Oreochromis niloticus: one gene and its partner. The protein of the gene in region 2 binds, or shares a complex with, the protein of the main gene of each other region. Links are inferred from orthologs where the notes say so. Each region holds a gene or a part of one and is shown on either strand. Other genes may lie near its edges.

Region 1 (3,752 bases), on a different chromosome or scaffold from region 2:
AAACTTAGTGTTGATGGATTATTATTTCAACAGCTTTCTTTAATGGAAAAATACCTTTATGAAAACTTTAATCACACTTTAAAGTTTAGATTTTTGCGGGGATTTTCCTTACTATAAAATCAAATCATGCTATCGTGAACTTTTTTTTTAATAATATTTATTTTAATTAAGTTTAGATTTTTTTGAAAAAGTGCACACATATTTGAAGACACGACACACTAAACTTGAGCTGTTAGCTGCTCGGCTAACTAGCTGCTAGCATTATCCCACAGATCCCCCACCCCCCTCTCACCGATAATCATGGTCTCGTCCGGAATCTCCTCGATGAAGCATTTCTTCTCGGTCTCTCCGATGTGAAAGTACAGTGCGGAGACGAAGCTGCACAAAACGTTCAGGAGTAAAACTGAAAACAGACACGGCTGCATCCTGATCCGGAGCGACGCCATCTTCCTGCCGGGACACACGGAACTCACACTGAGCATGCGCCTGTCACAGCAGTGCCACGTAAACCCTTGCGGCACTCTGGCCAATCGGCTAACCGCAGGAGGATACTGGGTGTCGTAGTTCTAAACGCTCTGGGCTTCTAAAATGAATGATAAATAATTTTATCATGATTAATCATTTATTTTTAGTTTATGTACTTAAAAAAATACTCAAAATGTGCGTTTATGAGACATTGTTTAAAAAAAAACAAGAGGCTTCTGAACTCTTTGCCCCCTCTCTCTCACGGACAATAACCATATCCAACTTCTAAATATTACTTGTCATGTTGTATGTTGTTGCTGGGGACTGTTTTATTGCACTGGAGTTATATTTACACTTATTATTATTTTTATTCACGCAATTTCATTGTTTTCTGACAATGACAATAAATATTTGAATTGAATTGAATTTTATTTAGCAAAGGAAAACAAATATTTAATTTCATAAGTAAAACTGAGTTGTTATTAAAATGCTTTGATGTATGCCTGTTATTATTATTTTGTATTACTGTAAGACCACGAAAACAATCTCGTGGTCTTTTACTGTGAAAGACCAAAGCGGGAAAAAGCCTTTTTCACACATGCGTAGACCAAATCAAACGGTATCCACGGCAACAGGGCTGAAGCGGACATGGCGCCCGGTGAGTGTGAGGTTTTTGTTGTTGATAAATCGGTAAAGGTGCAGGGTTAAAGTTTTAAATATTTCATAGGTTAAAGTCAGTGGAGAGTTTACTGGTCGAATAAAACTGTATATGGTTATTTATTTTTGAGCAGGCTGAGCGTGGTCAGAGCAGCGAACACGTCAGGTTTCTGTCAGCTCATCAAACCACAGCAGTCAGAGAGACGCTAACATTACTGATAAAGAACCGCAGCACATGTTTTTACACAGAAACAGCAGCTGCGTTTCCTTATTTACTCTCTTCAGCTCAGTTAGTCACATTGAAAAGACTGAAAACAAAGATGCTAAAGCCTAAAAAACAACACATTAAACAGGAAGTTTAAAAATATCAGTTTTAGTCTGACTTTTAAGAGTCCACAGATCTCAGACACTCAGAGCCTGACAACATGACCACGGGAAGCTGCTGACAGCGTATGGATGTTAAAATTCACAGATGTACGTAGGTTCCTGTCCCTGGAAAGCTCTAAAGGTCAAAACCATACTCTTAAAGTGCACTCTGAAGCAGCTGAATCAGCAGTGACTCAGTCTGAACCCTCACAGCGGCACTCTGAATGACCTGCAGACGTTCTAGCGAAGCTTTGTTAAGACAAGAGAACAAAGAAATTTGAAAATTGCTATAATTCAAAAGTGATGACATAGATGCATGAACGACAATCCCCAGTTCAGACATCCTGGAGCGCAAAGCTGCTTTATAAAGAATAGAATAATAAAAGAATATAAATAAATTATTAAATGCAGTAAAAACAATCACAGACATTAGAAACGTCAAAGATATGCCAAAAGAGACAGAAGAAAGAAAGCACACCTGCAAATCTGTGTGTACAACGAAATCACTTAAATAAATATTTAAACATTTTATATCATTAATAATATTATCAAGATCACCAATACAATCAGCAGGTTAATCAGTAATCTGATCTGTCCTGTTTGTGGTCTGTAACTCACTCTTCTGCTTCCTGTTTCCACTTTTTTTCCTGCAGGGAGCCAACCAATCGTATCCTTCACCTGACTCTAACGCAGAGCTGCAGGTCATGTGACTTTGTGCCTGCCGTTGTTTCTCCTTGACCTCCTCTTCCTCAGCTCTCGTCCGCTCCTCTGCAGGTGCTGTTCTACCTGAACAGCTGGTACTTTGCTGCCTTCTACCTGGCCGAGGTCCTCATGTTCATCTATAAAGGTGTGTGAGAGCATCCTCCTCTACCTCCTCTTTCTCCTGCAGCGCAGAACTCAGAGACAGAGTTTGAGAAATGGTGCCGTTCACGCAGACGATTAAATGGGACAGAGAATTGGGCTTTTTGACCGAGCGCTGCGAGCTCGAGCTGAACTGGGACTGAGTTTGAGGGGCACTTGATTTACCGTCGAAGCTTCCAAGCTCAGAAAGTGCACAGTCATAGCCCGGCTACGACTGTGCCGGGCTACAGTCGGAGAGAAATCGGAGTCCTTCAGGAGGTCTGCTGATGTACGCCTAACCCACAAAAGTCTGAACTCAGTCCAATGTGCTTTTATTTTTTAAGATCGAGTCACATTTAACTTAACATTTTATTTTTACATTAAAAAAGCTTAATATTCCTGTTTTTGTTCAGCTGCAGCCTGAAACTCACTTTGTTAAGAAGTCATACGTGGGTCCATCGTTGCTGTAGAACTTTATTTAAGCAGGTTAAATCCAATTAACAGCCTCCACAGTTTAAACTGGAGGAGAGGATTATGATGGTGATGAAGATGATGGTGTTTGTTAAGATGGAGAGGCTGATGATGATGGGGTCATATTGATGTTGATGGTGATGATGATGGTGATGGCGTTCTGATGTCTGCTCTCTGCAGGAGTTTTGTTGCCGTACCCGTCAGATAACCTGGTTCTGGACGTCGTGCTGCTGCTGCTTTTCCTCGCTCTTGAGATTCTGCGGATCTTTTACGGTGAGCAAAGTCACGTCTCATTTTGAATAAATCTTTATTTATAACAGGAATGGTCTTTCATGTCCTTTAAGAAGTCAGATAAGATGATTTTATCTGTCTTGAGTTCATGCTCTGCTGCTCCTGCCACCTCCTATTTAATTCAATTCAATTTAATTCAATTTTATTTATATAGCACCAAATCACAACAACAGTCGCCTCAGACATTTATGTGTCTGACAACAAAGTGCTTCACAAAAACATGTCGTGTACACACACACACATACACACACACACACACACACACACACACACACACAACACGCACGTCACAAACTGAGTGTCAAACTGCGTCTCCATCCAGGCTGGAAGGGAAACCTGTGCGAGCGCTCTCTGGCTTCCTGCATGTCGCTCTTTGTCCTGCTCCCCTGCACCGCGCTCGCCGTGTACTACCTTCTGCTGCAGACTTTCGTCCTACGCCTCGAGTTCCTGCTCAACGCCGTGCTGCTCTGCTTCTACGGCCTCGAGTTCCTGCTCGGGCTCATCTCCATATCCGCCTTCTCCAGGTGATGGCGTCCTCATGTGGGCTTTTTGGGTCGGTACAAATCTTAGTCGTTTCCTTAAATACTAAAGTTCATACTTTACGTCTTCTTCCGCAGGGCCAAAGTGTACTGAGGAGCAAACGCCACAGGACGAGTCAGCAG
Region 2 (3,752 bases):
GATATTACCATATGACATAAGAGCTTTTAAGAGAATAATGCAAGATTTGCTATTATGCCTTCAAATTGACACCTTCTGTCAACATGTAAGCACTATTTTATACAAAAAGATGTATTTTTATTTTAGGAAGTCATTTTAAATGTAGAATTATTGCAATATGTGATTTTTAACAGTAAAGTCAGTCATCAACACAGAGAAACAAGGGGCCTGCAGTCCTAAATGTTGAAATTAACCCCGACATCAGCGTTACAATCTTATATTAGATCTAATAGCACCTACATGATTGTTCAAAATTATCTATAAAATTCATTTAAATTAAAAACAAGTAAGTTTGTAAGTTTAAATTGATGTAAGTTCAAATTCACTGTCGTGTAAATTTTAAACAGTAGAAGAAAAAAAATAGTGCAGATCCAGAAAGTTTTTACATCAAAACCAGTTTTGTTCTACTTCCCCTATGTGCTGGAAGGCTTCTCCTCTTCCTCACTGTTTTTAAACAATGGCTGACAACCAACATATTAAGTTCTGCCATCTTCTGTTCCCAAGAATGGACATGGTAATAAATCCTACCCATAAATCGAAGCCACTGGACACTAATGTGGTAATGCTGTGCTCCTCCATTCCACACTTCCTCTGCTTCCTGATCATATGTTGTGACTCGTGGCCCCACTTAGTACACTATGTGACCGCGCGCATTACCGTCTCCTCAGCCTGATAGTGTTCACTGTTTATATAAAGCTGCAGGATGCTCTCCTGTTACTCAGTGTTTGAGTTTGCTTCTTTATTGGTGTTTGGTACAGTGGCGTCATCTTGTGGACAGTGTGAACATTTCCTCACCGCGTTTACGCGACCGTTCAGTTTGGATGTAGCAGGTTTCCGTAGAGAGGAGGAAAAGCGTCGCCCTAGCAACGGAATGATCAGCAGCAGGATTCTTCTGCAGCGGGTTGAATCTGTCATGAAATAGAAACGCATTCAGCTTCTGGTTTACTAACTAAAGCCGTAATGGCTGCAAGCAACCCATCCGTGTTTCTTCTCACGGTGAACGGACATATTGAGGGAGCGAACGTGCGTGGGCTTTCTGTGTTTTAGCCTAGCCTTGCAGCTGATTGTTCAGCTAGCATTAGCACCCCCTGAGATAGCTTGTGCCATGGATTCGTCTCATTTCTCGGTTCGTTTACCCTTGTGTACAGGTGTTAAGCTGATATCTGTGTTGTATTTCAGTTTCCAGAGTATGACAACTTGTACTGCAAATATTGTTTTGTCTACGGCCACGACTGGGCTCCCACCACGGTGAGTAGCGTGATGCAATATAAAATTACAGTGTTGTGTTTAGTAAAGCCACAATTAGCCTGAAAAGGGGTCATAAAGTCTTTACTAAATAACAAATGGTTAAAGTACAGCCCCTACTGAAAGTTCGTGTGTTTGTTTGTTTTCCTTCTATAGGGGTTGGAGGAAGGCATCACACAAATCGCCAGTAAAAGCAGTCAAGCATCGCACAGGTTGATATGGAACTTCCCACTGGCAACAACATTTAAGAGCACAAATCCATCTGGATGTGAGCATTACACAAACACACTCAAAAACACGTGGTTAATTAGGAACAGTTGCCTTCTGTTGACAAAAATATTAGATCCTTTAGAAGAAGTATAGAGAATGGCAAATTAGTTGCAGTGTGTCTTTGCAGATCAAGAGAAAGTATATGATAGAGTGACAAGAGATGAACTGTAGTACGGACAGACAGCCAACCAAGTATGTGAGAATCAACCGTCCAAAGTGTACAAGAGAGGTGAAAAAGAGTGCAGGCTGGGTGGAGTGGGTGGAGATGAGTGTCAGGGGCGATTTGTGATAGAAGGATAGCAGCATGAGTGAAAGGGAAGGTTTAAAGGATGGTGGTGAGATCTGTTATGATGCATGGTTTGGAGTCTGGGAGTGACCAGGATGGATGGGACTGGAAATTAATATATCAGCGGGACCACTCAGGTTGAGCAGTTTGGAGACAGTTAGACATGGAGGGAGGGAAGGTGGAAATGCTGGACAAAGGATGCTGAATATGGAGCTGTTAGGCAGGAGGAAAATAGGAAGACCACAGAGGAAGATGTTAGATAGGTGAGATTGAGGCAGATGATCTGCTCTGGTGACCCCTAAAGGGAGCAGCTGAAAATAGAAGTAGAAGTAATATCTAAAACTTATTGTAGACAGAGAATTTATGTATTAATTAATGGGTTCATTTTCCAGGGCCTCAGCTCGTGGTGAGTGTTTATGGTCCAGATGTTTTTGGCAACGATGTAGTCAGAGGCTATGGAGCAACACACATCCCCTTCACACCAGGACAGTCAGTACTGCTTTCATTTACTTATCCTTAGGGGTTTTTTTTGGGGGGGGGGGGTTGCCCTACACAAGTACCATTTTCAAATAACTTGTGCTCACCTTTGAGCTATGTCAGAATGTAGACACCACTTGCTTCTTTCAGCAGGAAGAGCGTGAAACAGAAAATAACCTTATTTTTATTCTTCAGGCATACGAAAACCATTCCCATGTTTGTTCCTGAGCCCACATGGAGACTTCAGAAGTTCACAGGGTGAGATGTGTGCTCAGTGTGCAGTCTTCTCGTCTCTCTGCCAGTGGCTCGGGTGGCTTATGATCTCAGAGCAGTACAAAAAAGTTAATGTTCCACCATGTCTATCTGCGCAAGACCTGAGCTAAAGATAGGCTCTTATTACCTGTGTGGTGAGAATAATTAACATTGTTTTCCTGCTTCTGTGATCAGTATGCGGAAAAACACAAAGGTATTCCCACGTTATCTCCTGACAACCTAAGGTTGTGTAACTTTGGTGGCATGCCAAAGTTATGCCATTTGTTGTCCTGACAGTGTAACTGAAATAAAACAGCAGCAGCACACTTTTTAAGGGCTTTTCTTCCTCTTGTTTTAGCCACTTGTATCAAAGTATCAAGTTAAGGTTAAATTGCCTTAAAAAGCCCTCCAGAGTAGACTGAGAAAACGATGTACATCTCAAGCTAAATGCATATTCTTAAGCCAGTTTGTGAACCTTTCTGTGTACGACAATTTTTTTTTTTCCTCTCCTCTGTTCAGGTGGTTGACGGGGCGGCGGCCTGAATACACAGATCCTAAAGTGGTGGCCCAGGGTGAGGGCAGAGAAGGTGTGTGGCTCTTGTCTGCATTTCTTTACTGTCCCAAAACTACCACGTTGTGCTAAAGTCACACCAGGGAAAATGAAAGGAGTCCAGTCTAGTGCGATTAACTTCGTGTTGCTGTTGAAATGGTTGTTTCTCCTATAGCAGTTTTTATTCTAGTGACTGAGCCTTTAGATTCACAGCAGATCAAATTACACAAGTTACTTATTACTCTGCAGCGTATTTTCCAGGCTCTGGACTAAAACAAAAACTCTGTCTTATATTTAATGTTGCAGTGACTAGAGTTCGTTCGCAAGGCTTCGTCTCAGTCTCCTTTCTCATCATGACTAAAGACATGAAGAAGATGGACTATGACACGGGACCATCAGGCCCGGCAAACAAGCCCTCCGCCACATCTGGCTGGTCAACAGAGGAACAACCATAAAACGTGTGGCAACATTAACAGACTGAAGGAAATTTGGGCCAAATAACACGTCTCCTCATGTTACGAGCCCCTGAAGGCGACGTTTTTTCCCCTCACAGTGACAATCCCGTGTTCAACTGAGACACCAGCAACAATGTGCGTATCTGGAAATATTGTGCAGAGATGGAATTATGCTAAT

What was found. The genes of interacting proteins can lie anywhere in the genome.
Region 1: b9d1 (region 2) and tmem216 share a complex: the UniProt entries of both Homo sapiens proteins name them as parts of the tectonic-like complex. The link is inferred for Oreochromis niloticus from reciprocal best matches to the Homo sapiens genes B9D1 and TMEM216.

What each region holds. Positions count from the first base shown.
Region 1 is NC_031966.2:8,581,450-8,585,201, reverse strand, and holds the start of tmem216 (transmembrane protein 216), read left to right. Parts: upstream 1-1,036; 5' UTR 1,037-1,113; coding exon 1,114-1,123; intron 1,124-2,141; coding exon 2,142-2,155; intron 2,156-2,241; coding exon 2,242-2,335; intron 2,336-2,979; coding exon 2,980-3,072; intron 3,073-3,412; coding exon 3,413-3,614; intron 3,615-3,707; coding exon 3,708-3,723; 3' UTR 3,724-3,752. Other genes in the region: tmed9 (transmembrane emp24 domain-containing protein 9), read right to left, coding at 293-482. UniProt on the Homo sapiens protein: Part of the tectonic-like complex which is required for tissue-specific ciliogenesis and may regulate ciliary membrane composition.
Region 2 is NC_031969.2:13,175,514-13,179,265, forward strand, and holds the start of b9d1 (B9 domain-containing protein 1), read left to right. Parts: upstream 1-854; 5' UTR 855-999; coding exon 1,000-1,062; intron 1,063-1,218; coding exon 1,219-1,287; intron 1,288-1,440; coding exon 1,441-1,552; intron 1,553-2,232; coding exon 2,233-2,329; intron 2,330-2,512; coding exon 2,513-2,575; intron 2,576-3,088; coding exon 3,089-3,156; intron 3,157-3,425; coding exon 3,426-3,574; 3' UTR 3,575-3,752. UniProt on the Homo sapiens protein: Component of the tectonic-like complex, a complex localized at the transition zone of primary cilia and acting as a barrier that prevents diffusion of transmembrane proteins between the cilia and plasma membranes.